Arabidopsis thaliana: one gene and its partners. The protein of the gene in region 1 purifies or fractionates together with the protein of each later gene. This does not show direct contact. Each region holds a gene or a part of one and is shown on either strand. Other genes may lie near its edges.

Evidence for each region.
Region 2: the proteins of TPP2 (region 1) and AT5G23540 fractionate together in Arabidopsis thaliana (co-fractionation; one large-scale study listed by BioGRID). This does not show direct contact.
Region 3: the proteins of TPP2 (region 1) and AT3G18190 fractionate together in Arabidopsis thaliana (co-fractionation; one large-scale study listed by BioGRID). This does not show direct contact.

The regions. Positions count from the first base shown.
Region 1 is NC_003075.7:11,166,663-11,172,689, forward strand, and holds the start of TPP2 (tripeptidyl peptidase ii), read right to left. Parts: upstream 3,410-6,027; 5' UTR 3,228-3,409; coding exon 2,795-3,227; intron 2,593-2,794; coding exon 2,514-2,592; intron 2,433-2,513; coding exon 2,359-2,432; intron 2,265-2,358; coding exon 2,155-2,264; intron 2,029-2,154; coding exon 1,948-2,028; intron 1,845-1,947; coding exon 1,758-1,844; intron 1,663-1,757; coding exon 1,520-1,662; intron 1,399-1,519; coding exon 1,248-1,398; intron 1,169-1,247; coding exon 1,046-1,168; intron 812-1,045; coding exon 728-811; intron 627-727; coding exon 439-626; intron 360-438; coding exon 185-359; intron 84-184; coding exon 1-83. UniProt on the Arabidopsis thaliana protein: Serine protease of the proteasome pathway that may function with the 20S proteasome to degrade oxidized proteins generated by environmental stress.
Region 2 is NC_003076.8:7,934,935-7,940,445, reverse strand, and holds AT5G23540 (Mov34/MPN/PAD-1 family protein), read right to left. Parts: upstream 2,817-5,511; 5' UTR 2,675-2,816; coding exon 2,545-2,674; intron 2,355-2,544; coding exon 2,177-2,354; intron 2,086-2,176; coding exon 2,004-2,085; intron 1,823-2,003; coding exon 1,646-1,822; intron 1,555-1,645; coding exon 1,387-1,554; intron 1,299-1,386; coding exon 1,107-1,298; 3' UTR 842-1,106; downstream 1-841. Other genes in the region: AT5G23550 (Got1/Sft2-like vescicle transport protein family), read left to right, coding at 1-78, 199-257, 454-532; AT5G23535 (KOW domain-containing protein), read right to left, coding at 3,319-3,401, 3,606-3,742, 3,831-3,934, 4,330-4,425, 4,516-4,575. UniProt on the Arabidopsis thaliana protein: Metalloprotease component of the 26S proteasome that specifically cleaves 'Lys-63'-linked polyubiquitin chains. The 26S proteasome is involved in the ATP-dependent degradation of ubiquitinated proteins.
Region 3 is NC_003074.8:6,229,506-6,235,024, reverse strand, and holds AT3G18190 (TCP-1/cpn60 chaperonin family protein), read right to left. Parts: upstream 2,918-5,519; 5' UTR 2,800-2,917; coding exon 1,189-2,799; 3' UTR 842-1,188; downstream 1-841. Other genes in the region: UMAMIT4 (nodulin MtN21 /EamA-like transporter family protein), read left to right, coding at 1-24, 119-270, 351-516; AT3G18180 (Glycosyltransferase family 61 protein), read right to left, coding at 3,147-4,306, 4,418-4,513, 4,599-4,755; AT3G18170 (Glycosyltransferase family 61 protein), read right to left, coding at 5,478-5,519. UniProt on the Arabidopsis thaliana protein: Molecular chaperone; assists the folding of proteins upon ATP hydrolysis. Known to play a role, in vitro, in the folding of actin and tubulin.

The sequences.
Region 1 (6,027 bases):
TCTTCAGGTAGATCACCTACTGGTGTAGATGTATTTTCAAGGGCCCTTCTCACACTGTACGGGCTAACTGGGATGCCCTCAGCCTGCAGAAGTGTGAAAGAATGTCAGCACTCAGCAGCAGAACTAAAAAGAACGGAATAGGAAACGGATGTGCAGAAATAAAAAGTAATGTTGAAGAAGAAACCTTCATAGCACTTAGAAGTAACGCAATTGCCCCACAGGCAGAAGGAGATGCCATTGATGTTCCATTCATGAGCATGCGTCTTTGAAGCGTCCATGTAGGAACAGGAGCAACAGCCCCACCAGGTGCACTTATGCAGACACCAAGATCTCCATCAGATGTTGGCCCCCGGCTTGACCTACAATATAACAATAACTATATCATGCCAGCTACAACTAGCTGTAGAATAATTCCAAAGTTAAAAAAGGTGAAAATACCAAGTGTATTCAAGCCCCTCACTGGGAGGTTCCACCACTGAATGGGCACCTGCTGCCATTGCAGGAGAAACATACGCACCAACCCCAATGATACTGGACGTTGTTCCACCCGGTGCTCCGACTGTTGTCAAAGCTGGACCACTGTTGCCAGCACTACTTACAAAAATTAGACGTCTCTTGTTCACAGCCTAATAAAACATGGCAGAAAGTCCATAAACGCTAGAAGAAAAGCAAAAAATACAAGCTAATAAGTGCTGCCCAAATAAAGACAAAAGGATTTGAATGATACTTCAGTAACAAGATCAACAAAGCGCCCATAGTCTGGAAGTAATGCTGGCTCTCCATAGCTCATGTTGACAAGATCACAGTTATGCTGTAACATTATTATAAAAGTCAGTATATACAAAAAAGAAACATTGAACGTATTGACTTGTGTCAATGCAAACCTCACATATAATAATCCACAAATATATGAAATTCTTCGTGATGTTTAAGTAATTCAAGAGATATACGACTTGTTTAGTTCAAACTTCATACAATATACTTTCACGAAGTTACAAATGATTTTCAGCTAATGGTAAATTCATATCAGCTGATGAATTATTACCTCTAGGGCAGCTATCAATGCCCGAGTCAATCCAGTTCCGGTCTCCATTGAACCTAATCGCGAGTCTCCAATTTTGCAAGATATTATTTGTGCACCAGGTGCCACACCATTTAACAAATGCTCCTAACATACACATAGAAGGTAAGTTAATTGGTTGCAACAAATCATCAATGTATCTAAATTATATAGATGCGTTTTGCACCTCAGGGTGGTGTGCAGTAGCTATTCCAGCAACATGAGTGCCGTGAGGAGAACTATCAGTTACAATGCTTAGAACCTTTCCCTCATCATACACGTTAGCAACAAAGGAGCATGCATCTAGTCGGCTAAACACGCCATACTTCCGTTCAATTCTGTAGTACATATTTGATTGAGATTAATAAAATAAAATAAAAAAATTGGTGAACAAATCATGCTTCCAAACGAAAAGTTCCTGAACTTTCATAAGAGATAGATGTTTAAAGGAAGACTTGCCGGTAGTTAGTCAGTGGGGAGAAGTCTGCTAGTTTCCCGCTATCTGGATCCTCTTCCAGACTCTGTGTATCAAGTGCAACCCTCCATACTTCTCCATCATGCCACACAACAGCATCAATAACAGGCCCTTTGTCTTCATATTTCTACAGAAAAAACAATTGATTTACAGAACAGATTCAAGACCACAGCGAACAAGTACACAGACATAAAACTACCAAAGGGCGGTCTCTAAACTTACATCAGCTTGTTTTTTCAGAAAATCAACTTTGCTTTGGAGGTCTTCACGAGTTTTCTTCAATTTCGCATCTTCCACCTTGCTGTGCTTCTGGAGGCAAGAATGAAAAATGAGGTTATGATAGAATTGAGTAGCACTGTCTAACTCATAACATCTACAATACAGCAAACCACAATCAGCATCTCCCTAGTACCTGATCGAAATCATACAGATTATTTACAGCCTTGGCAATTTCCTCCTGATTCTTTTCATCCCAGGATTTCCTTCTCTCTTTCTGTGTAATGACAAAACAAGTCTTAGCAAATGGGATTGCAGACCAGATATGTAAACTCTGGTATAAGATTTAATGAGTAGATGAAAGTAATCCAACAGCCAAAAAGGTCACAACTCTAATCGCTACCTTCACACGAGAAGTCAAGTCATCTGTAAATAACTGATAAACCAACTTGGAACCTACACGCCACTCTCCAGTGGGATTTTTCCATGAAGAATTGACAACCAAAGTTGCCCCTGTTTAAACAAAAGAAATTATCAACGCATATCGTAGCAAGAAAGAGAAAGCAAACTATCATGCAGAAATCATAAAACCTCTCAAATCACCAACCTGATGCTCCACGAATATGACCATCTTCATTGGCTTTCACCACTGTGGATGTATCTATATCTCCACTTCCAGTGCTAAACGATAACGTAAAATGACCATCACGCCACAGTCAAAGAACACTAAATGCAAAATTCAATTAAATCACAAAACTATACCAGTCAATGACGTCCAAAACCTTGGGTTTTCCATCAGAAGTTACATGCAAGCCAGCAGCAGAAGGATCAAAACCAGAATCTGGAAAACACAAAATTCCATTTGCTCAGTTCCTCAATCAGAATTTTTACTTGGAGAGTTACAACACCTTCTTAAGAACCAAACAATCGCTCTACTATCTGATCCAAGTATAAGCAACCCAACTATAACATAAGGCTTATACAAAACTTCTCCATTCACAAATTCAATCTAGAGAATACAAAACGAGAGAATATCCAAGTACCAAAGATAGCTATAACAACGCCACGACCGTCGTACTCAGGATGAGCTTCGATGAAGCAATCCGCACGGATTTCTTTCTTAGGCATGAGAGAAGCAATAAAGGTAGATTCGTTCAGCTTGAAATTAGCGACAGAAGCATTCTCAGCTCCACCGCCAACGGCTCCACCACCACCTCCTCCGCCACAACCGACGCGAGAAGCCGTAAGAGTATCAGAAGAAGAACAAGGCATCGCCGAGAAACCACTCCGTCTTAATCGGATTCCACGAGAACGAGAGCAGCTTCTTCTTCTGAGTCTTCGATGAAGAAGAAACGTAGAAGAAGAAATGAAATCGCGAGGAAGAGAAAGTGAAGAAGAAGAAGCCCAATAAGAAGTACACGACGGGCCTTTGTTGATTAACGCGCCGTGAATCTGCAGCTGCAGACTCAGATCCATCTTCGGGATGTGTGTTAATTAACAGGGGTATTTTGGTCAAATAACAGCTGAGTCGATGCACCGAATCGTGTCACTCGTTAGAGGTCTTTTGGGTTGTGAATTGTTGTGTCAATGGAGTTGGTGGTGGCTTACTCCAACTGGTGGCTTTCGCTTGCTCTATCTAGATAACGATATTATTTAGATTTAATTTCTTAGTTACATAGTCTTTAATTGTTGTTTTGACTTTTATAATTGGACATAACCTTAATCTGATTGCTTCTTGGGTTTTTGGTCGCTCGTGTATGAGATTGTTCTCCATTGTTGTTGTCTTTAGCTTAATTCTTCGTGGTGAGAATTAAACTAAAAATATGATTAGTAGATTTGTGAGCTGGTTTTATTGTTTTAGGACTGAACATCTGATTTTGATACCACCCATATGATAATATATATATGTTTTTGCTGACTTGTAAATATCATATAATGAAATTGAAGGTATTACAAAGAGCTTTACCTAATGATAGTGCAATCTTGGCAAAAAAGATAAAAAAACAAGATTACAATATATTCAAGAACAACAAAGAAAAGACCGAGCTATCGAATCCAAAGAAGCATGAACTTCCGCCATCTTTTCTTATGCCTTCTACCCGAGATAGCGTTGCGGATATCTCGATCAATATTCTTAAAGATAATTGGAGGAGGGATGATTTGGTTGTTGTGGAGAACATTATTTCTTTGCTTCCAAATATGGTAGATAATATTATCAATATATATGGAAACTTTACATTCACTCATCTGAATTTTCCTAATTTTTTTGTTATGTGTTGTTTGTACATTTTGAATATTGTACTTTATTATCTGTTTGTTGTAGTCTTGTAGAGACTAGAGATTGATCAGTTGATCACACTTTGTTCCTATATGATTAGACTGAGCAATAGCATAACTTATTTGATAAAGTTAGGACTACCACATTTGATTTGTAATTAACTATTTTCTTATACGGTATGTGAGGTCTGTGATCTGTCAGACTAATTGAAATGGCTAAAACTTGTGTTAGTTATGTCATGTGGATATATCTGAAGAATCCCTGAAAATGGGGGTATAGTATAGCATCATTTGATGACAGCAAAATTCAAAAGTCATGAAGCATATTATAAGATTTGTGTGTGTTTCGGTCTCTACCAACAATCGTTGTTGCTTTAAAGAAAACCTTATAGATATTGCTCATAGGTATATGCATGCATTTGTAATGGGAGTTTCGAACACACAGCTGAATCTTAACAGGGATCAGTGGGGTTGATAAATTTGATATTATTAGAAAGCTTCTTGAATCTTTTAAACTTGCTTACTCAGATCCCTCACGTTCAGAAAAATTGGACGGTTATTGTGTTCTTCTCATCATGGGTTTGCTTTCTAGCTTCAGCTATATCTAATCAAAATTTTGACCCTATTTTTTCTCGTTGCCTTTTTTTGGTATGACATATATATCCAAAACAAGTGCAAAAATCTTGATTCGGATTAGGTGTTTGTGGTTGTGAGAGAAGTACAACTACGAATCTATTTGTAACACTATATCATTCAAATATTCAATGCATCACCAAATCAAAGACTTCCAGAATGTAAGAACGTTGACACGTTTTTTGAGCAATGCCATAGAGTTGACATCAAGCATGACGACGTTAACGCTTCATTTCTTTTTTTAAAACTTATTTATAATCTTCCTCCTAAGTGAGATAAAATTGTATTAATATAAGACGTCATTTTTAAAATCCTTTGAATACAAGAGTATGGGACATTCAATTTTCTTTGTTTCATACTAGCAACTTGATTATATATTTTAATTTGCTCCAGCTATGTATATAACGCTTACAAGTTTTATACAAGGAAAACTATGTATTTTAAGAATAAAAGTGTGGAATTTATACACCGTTTGTGTAGGTTTTAAGCGTAAGTCAGATTGTTAATCTAGAAAATATTGTTATCCAGAAGAGTGAAAGACCCAATAAACTTGTAAGTGTAAGTGTTACTCATTCTGTTTTATAAAGTTTATGTATATTAATTGAAGATTGTTGGCACAAAAAACAAAAACAGATTTCTAAGGGTTTGTACACATGCTAAAATTAGTTTTTACCAAATCCTATTAGAATTTATATTTATAATGTTTTCTTCATTCTAATAACTAACAAGGACAAAATACAAAATGTTACACAAATTTCAAATATAGACATCTATCTTTATGAATTTTATTTTTTCCGAAACATCTACTATTATTAGTAGTTCTAATATGTTAGCTAGAAGTCATTTTTGTGTAATAATATCCATCTACACCATGACTCTTGACAAACCAACGTTAAGCTCTAAAGTTGACAAAAATACTTAAAATGGATATAACTGTAAAAGGAAATGCCCTTTAATTCTGATTTATTTATTTTTGAAATTATTTTTTGTTGGCTTTTTGTAACAATGGAAGTCTACATCTAATAATGAGCCAAAGTATTCTCCATCAAGTAATAATTATCTCCACGTTTGAAAAATTGCAATATTTGTTAAACGCGTATACATGGTGATCACCATTCCACATCAACTCGCAAATAGTCTACTTTTGACCCGAAGCTACCGTCTTTGTTTTAGCTACTCGTCAAAATAATCTTATTATATTCATAATAGTGACGTTGATTTAATATCATGATCAAACAAATAACCCCAAAAATGAAAAATCTATATAGCCTCCTGAACTCTTCTTCTCTCTGAAACTCAATCAGTTTCTCAACGAATCTTTCTAAACAAGACAAAGGATCAAGAACACTACTTGTTCTTTGTCTGA
Region 2 (5,511 bases), on another chromosome or scaffold:
ATGCTTGACCCAGCTCGTATCTACGCTACTGCATTGTATCTAGCAAGCATTATCATTGCCTTGTTTTGTGCTCTTTATGTAAGTGGGGTTTCTCAATTCAAAATACTGGATGCACAACATTGCTTATGTTCAGTTAAAACTAGGTAGTGAAAATGCCTTGTTGGACTAAATATAATCTGTCATCATCTTTCTGTACAGGTTCGCAACAAGCTTCTGACACTGCTGGCTATCATTCTTGAGTTCACTGGTCTAATTTGGTATGCTAAAACTTGCTTTCAAGCTCTTACATTTTTATCCTAACTTTCTTAGTAATACAATTACATGATATATACTCTTCGAATAGTATATTATCCCGAGTGGACCTAATGCTCCTTATACGGTTTCTGAGTTTGTCACAAAAGCTGTCAACATTCATCTTGGAGAATGAATCCCTTGTGTTCTTTAAAACTGCAGGTATAGCTTGAGCTACATCCCTTTTGCAAGAACCATGGTCTCAAAGATCTTCATGACTTGTTTTGACACCGAGTTTTAAGCTACAGTTTACACACATCAGGTCAAAGATTTCTTGTTCCAAAACCTTGATGCTCTGGCTGAACGATTGGTCAATCTCCTCCAAATGTGTTCAAAGCAGGACTTGTTTGATGCACCGGTAACGTGCCATGCCCTTTATGGCTTATAATTGCCTCTTTACATCAAGTTCACGTCTTCACAAATCCTAGCACAGTTTTTTGTATATTTGCTGTGGAACTTAACGTAGATTTGGATGTTATTGCTGTTTGCTACAAAATTAAGATGTTAACTTCACTTGTTTTAGTTTCATTGTCATGGTTACGCTAAAGACTTAATCCAGGAGGGAAATTGCATATTCTTATCAAAAGCACTTAACTTGAAAGTTGCAGCATAAAATCTAAAAATGGGAGGAAAATAAAATCTGAAAATAATATGCAAAGAAATAGAAATCGATCCCTGCCCTTAACGAACGAAATCACATAGTACAGTACAACCTTGTAAAAAGCTAGCAGATAAAAAGAGAACATTCAGTAGAAGCCAAAGAGATGCAGAAGAACAAAGCTCAATGACTTGAAGCGGCTGGAGAAGTAAGCTCTCTAGAAGACAACAGTGTCGAGCATAGTGCCTAGTGTCTGAACAATGTTGGATGACATGAGGTTCGAGACATGTTCTTCCAGATGCTTCTTTGCATCTTGTCTTCCCACATTCACAATTGCCAGCTTCTCTGGTGACAACTCGTCCTCCTCTTGAACCGCCTTGTTATATTTAGCAGCCAAGCTCAACATCTCCTGTTAAACAGGAGATAATGAAAATGTCAATGAACATGATTGTAGAATATGCTTGAACAGATAAAAACATAACCCTGTGTTTCTTTACCTGGACCGTCTGTTCGTTGGTCTTGGAGTGGGTGTCAAAGCGTCTTAGCGTCAGACCATCTGTCCATTTCTTCTTGTGGAGGTTGAGTAACATCTTCTCCTCAAGCTCGTTCTTCCTATAGTTGATTGCTATTGAGTAATAGTGTCTGTTCAACCCGTGAATCAAAGCCTGCATAGTAGTATCCAAAAGTCAGTATCAGAGAAAACCTTTGATTTCGTTTCAACTTAAAAACAGGACACATTCAGTTAGTGATAATCACCTGGATCGATGGTTTGTTCAAGTGCCCAAGGTTCGATGTTGTTTGACGGGGTTCCTGCCCAAGCATAATGGTCTGTGGATTTATGGAGCGGAACGCATCAATCACCACCTTTCCTTTCACACTCTGAATCGGATCTACCACCACTGCTACAGCTCGCTGATTCAAAGCTTCAAAACTCTACAAAAGCACACAGATATTCACAATGAACATATATAATACAAAGTGAATCACAACAGGGTATAGAACACAATGAGTAACATTCTATTTAGTTTTTTGAGCCATCAATAAAGCAAACAACAAATTCTCAAGTGCAATTCACAAATTGATAAGTATGCAAACAGAGCAAACAAAACTCTACCTGTTGAGTATTAATGTCAACCCCAGAAAGCCAGCAGCCGAATCCAGGATGTGAATGATACCAACCAACCACCATCTCAGGTCTGAAACAAGATACAAGAAGAATCAGATCCAAAACCTAAATAGGAAACCTCACTTAAGCGTAGTAAATAGGTTTAGAGAAGAACTAGTTACCTTCCGGTCTGTTTAAGCATGTCGAGCATATTAGTCTGGAAAACATGATCAACAGCTTCAACACTAACACCAGTACCACTCTGAGGCATCGCAAAAACATCCACAACCCTAACAGTGTATTCATCCACAAACTCTCCAAGCATCAATCCCATGACTTCCATAGGAACACCAGCTCTTCCTGCAATATTCCGATCAATTTTCATTAAATCTCTACTCAAATCCGCATTTTGAATCTCAGAAACAGATCGAATAAAACCCTAGAGTTCCAGAGCAAAAGAGGACGAGAGTAAAATCACAGAGAACGAGACAAAATCATAAAACCCTAAGCAAGAGAAGACTAAATTAGAGCTTGGGTTTGGATTGATTACCGTGCTTAAGCATCTTGAGGAGAGCGAGAGAAGAGATGTAAACCTGCTCCGATGTATCGAGAGTCGGAGAATCAGGCGATGCGTGACCTAAACCGCCACCAGCTCCGAAGATTCTCTGTAGTCTCTCCATAATCAGATGAATTGATTAGTCGTCTTCTTCGAAAGTTTGTTCTTCTGGGTTTTTGCTACAAGAATGGGATCTTATAAGAAAACCTTTCTCAGTTTTCTTTGTTAACAAGACAGACGAAGATGGATCGAATTACTCGATTAGGCGACACTAATTACATATAAGTCCTTCAATATTTCCTTTTATTTATTGTAACCAATAATTCACCAAATTTCCAAATCATCCCCAAAAATAAAAGTTAATAACCAATTTGAATTTCCATATTTTTTTTGTCAAAATTTTAAATTTCATTACAATGCAAATCATGTCATTGTGTTAATATTGTTAATTCGGTTGCATAATATAAATCTACTTTACTTAGAGCTTATAGTTTTCGTTTTATGTTTAGACTTCTGGCTAGTGTATATACAATAACTAAACATGTAAATATTGAACTGTTTTCCAGACGGATTTTATTTGGCACCTTGAAAGTTCACAAGATCAATGAAAGAAAAAAGGAAAACGACTCCGTTTCAGTCATGATCAAAGGTTCTCCAACAAAACCTCACAGCTCTAGACCGAAATCAAACTCTAATGGATGGGAAAAAGAAGAATCCTTTTTGAGAGCAGGCAACATTTTCCAAACGAAACTGTAGAGAGGTTTCAACTCAAAGATCAGGCATGCCCTTTCCAGTTTTAGCATCATATGTCTGCTCCCAGACAAACTCCATTGGTGTGTCCTTAGGGCCAGCTGCAAAGAGAAAAGTATGAATCCTTCTATAAGAAAACCGCTACTATCAAGTTTGTTGATTATGTTGATAGCAAACGAATTATGTTGATTCTATGTTTATCTTATAGCCGATCTATGATTATGTTTTTTTCTCAGATAGCTAACAGACTTCCACTATATATTTCCAAAATCCAACGTTTAAAGAGATATTGAGCTTCTATGTACCAGTTGTGGGTCGCGGCGTTGCCCTTATCTTTAGAATCTCTGGTCGGGGAATTATGGAACCAGATGTGCCAGTGCCTCTGGCTACTCTTACTTTTGTTCCATCTTCTAGGTATTTTACACCAACCTTACAAGGCCTCCTGTGGTAGAAAAGATAATAGATTAATAAGTGATCTCTCGCTTGAGCAAAAGAGTAATTGGAGACAGTAGTGCAGAGTGAAATCATACCCAGTGACAGGATCAACAACTTGGACATTTGAGGCGTGAAGAGGAGCCTCTACAGTGAAAATTCCACCTTCGTGATCAGGGCCTCCCTTTATATGTTTCTTGATCTGAGAACACAGGAAAAAAAAAGCATCAGCGAAAAACATATACAAGCTTCAGTGAGTAGACAAAGACTATCCCAGCAGCAAGGTAGAACATCCAAAACGATAACAGTTTCAAGATAAACAATTCAAAAGAATTGTGTAGCGAAATCCATGGAACTAGAGTCGCTTTGTGATTTAGTAACCGTCTACTTGATGCTTGGATTAAAAAAATGAGAATCAAATGAAAATTGATAACTCTATGGTTGGTGTTGAGCTAGTGATATGATATTGATTCAGTACTAGTTCATACTCTACAAACCAAATCAAGAACAAAAAAATCAAAAAATGAACTTGTACATTCATTCTCTAAATGCATGAGACAGAGCGAACAAAAGATATCCAGAACAAGACTATCTCACCAGATTCTTCCCTTCAACGATGACACGATTTTGGGATCGAATGACACGCTTTATGGTTCCAGTCTCACCCTTATCTTTCCCACGAATTATCATTACCTGCACATAAAATCATACCCCAGAAACAACAGATCAAAAATGAAACCAAACTAATGAACACCACAAGAAGAACATGAGTGGTGTACTCACATTGTCTCCTCGAAGTATCTTCCAGTGTCTGATGAGTTTCTCAGCAGCTTTCCAGCCCATAGCTGCTACTCTCTTTGAGAATAATCCTAAAAATTACATCACAACAAATTCACGTCTTTCTTCTAACAAAAAAAACAACGAGAAACGGAAAGCATGAAGAATCCAAATCAAAGAAATTGAAAATGGCAGGGCCAATTTCGAGGGTTTTCAACTGCGGAAAGCCACCTAAATTAGGGTTTTTTCACGTCAAAGATACGCAACCAAAAAATTTATACATAATTCCGATCTAATTCGAAAAGGGAGAAAATTGATGATTAGAAATGATATCGCCGAAATTGACAATTAGGATGCGAAAACAAGTTTGGTCTAATAGAAGAAGCTTGCCTCTGAGAATTAATCGAGAGATCGAGGAAGAGGAAACCAATGGAGTTGAAGCTTTTTTGTTTTCCGCCGACGGTGCAGGCAGCGTTAACCACGGTGGCGAAGAAGTCGTCAGTATTTTGATTGTGAGTGTAAAAAAGATAAACCCTAAAACCTCTCATGTCTTCAAACATTAAAACGACACCGCATTCGCAATTTGGCCAAAAAAATTATAAGTCACTAACTAATTAGGTATTAACGATTTTAATTAATTGGGATGAGACGATATATGCTCTGTTTTCTTTTCTTTACTAGAGATGCACTGTTGATGTATTATTAGAGACCAAATTTTTTGTATTCCGATGTGTTAGAAGTTCACATTTTTATATGGTTTGAACTTGGAAGGTAACTACGGGATTAAATATGCCTGGATTATATCGTGTATCTAAATCATGATGGTGTAAATTCGTTCTTGTTTTGCTTTTTGCTTTGAATGGATGTTGTAGTTAGTGCGGACTAATCCGTAGCGGTTTAGTCCATACCATTTTTGGGTCGGACAACAAACCGATGCGGACTTAGTTTAAAGACTGTCCGCAGTTAGTCCGATGCGGTTGTCTTCTATTTTTTTTAAGTATG
Region 3 (5,519 bases), on another chromosome or scaffold:
GAGCTCTTCACCATCCTATACGCCGTAAGCTCCCTCCCTCTGTCTCTCTCTCTTCCTTTTCCTTGATCTGAATCAATGGAAATTAGCTAAATGAATGTTCCTTTGGCCGTGTTTACAGGGAATAATAGCGTCAGGGTTGGTGGTTTATCTTCAAACATGGTGTATCTACAAAAGCGGTCCAGTTTTTGTCGCTGTTTTCCAGCCTCTCCAGACACTTCTTGTTGCTGCGATGGCGTTTCTTATTCTTGGTGATCAGTTATACTCGGGAGGGTAAGCGCATTGAAAACGGGATGTATCGGGTTTTGTTTCTCTCGATTACTCGATCTAATAGAATCTTTTTGGCTTTGCAGGATTGTTGGTGCAGTGTTTATAATGCTAGGGCTCTACTTAGTTCTTTGGGGCAAAAACGAAGAAAGAAAACTGGCTCTTGAAGAGAGTCAACAAGATCCAGAGTCACTGACCAAACATCTACTTGAGGCACAACACAAGAAGAGTAATTCTGAATCTGAAGTGTAAAAGTGCTGCAAACACAACGCATTACTTCTCTGTACATACACATACAAGAACTTGGCCAACACACAGGCTCCTCAAGTGGGTCTCTCATACAATTGATATCCTAGTCGTTTACTTTTGAGTTGTAATCAAAATTGGGTTGCAATTTATTTATGAATAAAAATGAAAAGATGGTAACATTAAATCAAAGTTGACAATAGAGAAGCAAATGTTCTGATCCGGTCTGGTTGGAGACAGACCAATGACCTGGAGAACTCATGTTCATGCAACTGTGTACTGTCTTAATCTTTCATACAACGAATCTATAACATTTGTGACCCAGTCTATGATTAACCAGATAGGCAACTGATTTTGTGACCCATCATGCATCAAATATTTGAGTCCCAGTAATTAAAGTTCTGTTTCTACTCCTACCATTTGGACTTTCATAACCAAAACTAAATCAACATATGAAACAAAAAAAACTGAGAGATCTTGATATCACAAGTCACTAGAAAGAAATACAATCGCACTAAACCACAAATAAAGCCACTTAACTGCAATAGCACATGTTGCAAGAAAAGGGAGTCTAAGTTCAAAACCATTGTGCAAGCACAACACATGAAAAAAACGAAACAAAAGCTTAGATAGAGCAATAGAAGTGTTCTGGGACCTGTTTTGAAAGAAACTACCACACTACCTCACAGTTACGATGTCATCAATCTTCAAAATCATCCTAACGCATTCAGTTGCTAAAGTGATCGCACTGGTACTCACAAGCAGAGGCTGAACAACATTTTCCTCCAAGATGTTAGTGATCTGTCCTTTCCTCACATTGATCCCTGCGTTGATTTCCCCTTGAGCATGCTTGTTCCTGAGTTCAGTCACAATGGCGATAGGGTTTAACCCTGCATTCTCGGCTAGTGTGTAAGGAATAACTTCGAGAGCTTCAGCAAAAGACTTCACACAGTAACCTTCCATCCCATGTAGCACCTTAGCCCAAGCACCGAGCTGCCTTGAGAGCTCAATCTCTGGTGCACCACCTCCTGCAATCAAAAACCTTTTGCTCACTAGACACCTAACCACACACAAGGCATCATGTAAACTCCTTTCAGCTTCATCTAGAACAAGCTGGTTGGAGCCACGAACTAGAACAGATGTAGTTCTCCCCATGTCCTTGATACCAGTGATCTTCAAAATCTTTCCATCTCCAAGGGAGGCCTCCTCAACAAGATCAGCATGGCCAAGCTTCTCAGCTCTGAAATGCTCAATATTGGCGATAGGCAAGCAGTTCAATGTCTTGGTGACAAATTCAATCTCATCTCTCTCAACATCCTTAATAACCATAATCTTAGCTTTGGCCAAATAGTGAAGAGATAGATCAGTCACTGCATCCCTCAAAATACTCTTCTGAATCAACAACACATTGCAACCAGTTGCTTTGATCTTCTTAATCATCCCCAATATGTAATTCCTCTCTTCTTTCAAGATCCTATCCATCTGAGTATAATCAGAGACAACAATACTCTGCTCGATATCAGTCTTAGGAGGTGAGATCTGGAACTGAATCACAGCAATCTTAGCATTCTCCACACGAGTCGGTCCACCAGCAGCACGGCTAACCTTCTTATCAAAAACCAAACCTTTCACAGTATGTGTATCATCCACAGTCCCACCAAGCTTCTTAACAATCTTAATATCACGCAAATCCACAATCTCAGGCTTTTCCGGATCTATAACAGAGAGAACCGCATCTACAGCTAAAGGAGCAAGCAATGTAGAGTACTGACTAACAACCTTACTGTTAAGCGATGTGCTCGCAGATTTCACAAGTGAATCTCTATCAGTGAGCTCCACTGGAACAGCCATGGCAGTCAAAATATCGATCGCCTTACCACACGCCTTGTGAAGCGAATCTGAAATGACAGTAGGGTGGATCCCGTTTGTGAGAAGCGATTGACACTCCTTGAGAAGCGCACCGGCGATTACTACGACAGTTGTGGTACCATCTCCGGCGGCTGAATCTTGAGATTTGGAAAGCTCGACTAACATCTTCGCCGCTGGCTGCAAAACCTCCATCTTGTTAAGGATCGTAGCTCCATCGTTAGTAATGATTACCTCTCCGTTCGCCGTGGAAATCATCTTGTCCATTCCTTTCGGTCCCAAACTAGTACGGACGGCGTCAGAGACTGCTCGAGCAGAGTTGATGTTCGCGAATCGGATATCTTCTCTCCGCTTGTTGTCTACGAACGATTCAGCTTTAGATCCACGGGGCTTCGAAGCCATTGGTGCCGCTACCGCCGCCATTTTTTTACTACGAGTGAGAGAGCTTGAGATCTCGACGGAATTGATCTCGAACGGAGAAATTTGCAGAAAACCCTAAATGGAAGTGTGACAAGAGTGTTCTGGAAATGAAAGAGAGAATAGAGAATTTGAAAAAAGCCCTAGGGTATACGCTATTGTTTGATAAATGGGCCTGTTTTGAGTTTTTATGAGTTAGCCCAAAAGGCCCAGTTATTGGTTCAGACTTCAGACTTGAGTGTTTGTTAAGGGGACGGTTAAACAAATTTGAGAAAAATCTAAACTAGACCAAATGATCTGGTAATTATTTCGTTCCCAAGATTACAGTACACGAATGCTTGAAAGTTACTTATTTACACTGACTGATTATGCAATAGCTCAAGAGCTTTGACAAGAACCAGCTTGAACCGGTTTATATCAACGCTAACGTTCTGCTGTACCAAATAAACCGACTTGAAAGTTCCCCACCCGCGTTTTGCAACGGCCAATGGATCTCTAACGAACTCGTGATCGCGTCCGTACTGCTTCACCAGTGTGCTCTCCTCCGCCGTGATCTTGTACTCCAAATACCTCAGATTCATGCCCTTCGACGGATACTCGAAATCCATCTTTGCAAGCCACTCGAATCCACCGATCGGAAGAATCTGAATCACGATCGCGTTATCAGGTAAGAACACCATGTTCGTCATCCCCGCGCCGTGAACGCCGAGCATCACGTCACAGGAGTTCACAGTTATTGCGAAACTCGCGATTTCCGTGTTTGCTTCCGCCACCACGACTTTAAATCCGATTTGTCTCGCCGCTCTAGCGATTTCACCCGCGTTCACAAACGCTCGCGATCTGCTCCTAGACAAAATCAGAATCCGTGGCTTCCGCCTCGTAGTCACGGCGGAGTTTCTCAATGAGTATGTGTCTCTGAGGAATTTCCGGAAATCGGACATTGAATACTCCGAATTCGAAGGATCAGTCGTTAGCTCTTTGTCATAATCACGGTGGCGATTGAGACCAACGATGACGCTGCTGAAACAATGCGTTTCGTCTTCTTCGTCGATGTAAATCACTTCGTAATTAGAGAGTTTCCTCACTAATTCCTTAAATTTGTTGATCCACAAAAGATTCTTGTTCGTCACGAGGAACTGAACTTCACCGCTGAATCTACGCGCCGTCGTGTACAGAGGAATCACGATGTCCGTGAAATCATGGAAATTGTTCAACGAGAAGCCTCCGAGAGAGAAAAGAATCGCCGGAACGCTGTGATTCCTAACGCAGCGTGATAAACTAGCGTTTTGTACTAATTTCACCGTCCATTCTCTCACGCGTTTCATGGCAGGAACTTGGTCTTTTCTCGCATAAGGTCTCATATACCACGTGGAATTCCCGGAAAACGCAAACGTGACCGCCGCAAGAACAGTTGCGGATTTACCATGGATTCTTACGTCGCCGCTTACATCGCAAAACTCTTTGCTTCCTAGTGTGTTACAGTGACAGATAGGTTTCTCCATTTTATTGCACTCTGAAGATTCAGTCAGGACAAAATCAAAAGAACAAACTGTATCATACTATACAGAAAATGACTAAAAACCATAACAAGACAATTGTAGAGAAAATTCTGAAGTATATTGACCTGAAATAACTTCTTCTTTGGAGATTGTAGTGTTGGTAGTTAATTCTGTTATACTCAGCATCCTTAGACCAGTGCCAACTGATAACTGTAACTCCACTGAAGAAAGAAAGAAAGAGATACACGTTAAAATGATTGTTTTTGCGTTATCTGGCTTTTCGGCAAAACGTGGTAAGAGACTTACCGATTGGTAAAGGGCTGAGATAAGGTTTAACGACAGTGCAAAGAGTGAGGACCAAGAGAAGAGAGGCAATGAAAGCTCCACAGCAAAGTCTCTTCTGATCAGTTTTGCTAAAACTACGAGCAAGTACTGTATCGTAAAGAATATCCTTCTTTGTCATCTCTTGACTCTTAAGTTACACAAAACTTTTCTTTCTTCTTCAGCAAGAAACTCTATAATCAGAGTTTACTGGCTAATGTAGAGATATGAAGGTCAAGCTAGGTGGGAGAGCGAGAGGATTATGTGAGGTATTTAAGAATTTGTTTGACGATATTATCTGTGTTTTTTTTTTCACTATAACGTTTTAGTTATTGAGAATGAATATAAAGGGTACTGGTTTAAAGAAGAGAACTAGCTAGAGCATGTTCAAAGTGGTTCGATCTTATATTGGTAGAGTTTAAGGAAGAAGGAGAAGTCTTGGGAGTTTTTTCTTTATTTGCTTCATATTGAGTTAGTGATGAGTCATTTAGCTCCATATCAAAATTACAGAAATCATTAAAACATGCAATTTAATTTGCAACCAAAATAAGAGAAGGAAAGAAAGCATGACAAAAATATCCGTTAAATGGGGGAAAAGCTATTCAAAACAGATTAAAGCTGACCAAAAAACTGTAAAAAGTTACATAAAATTTAGTGTAAGCCACATAATTCTTTTTCTAATCGATATCGGTTTACTCTGGTTAGTCGATTGAGCCTCATCAGAATAATAACTGACAGTTCAGAAATTTCGATAAATATAATTGTTTTATGATAACAATATTACGATCCAACATTCCAACTACAAGAATTTACAGTATATGGATGCGGTAAATATATGATTTACATCGACTGCCTCTAGGCTCTCTACAATAACTCAAGAGCTTTGACAAGAACCGGCTTGAACCG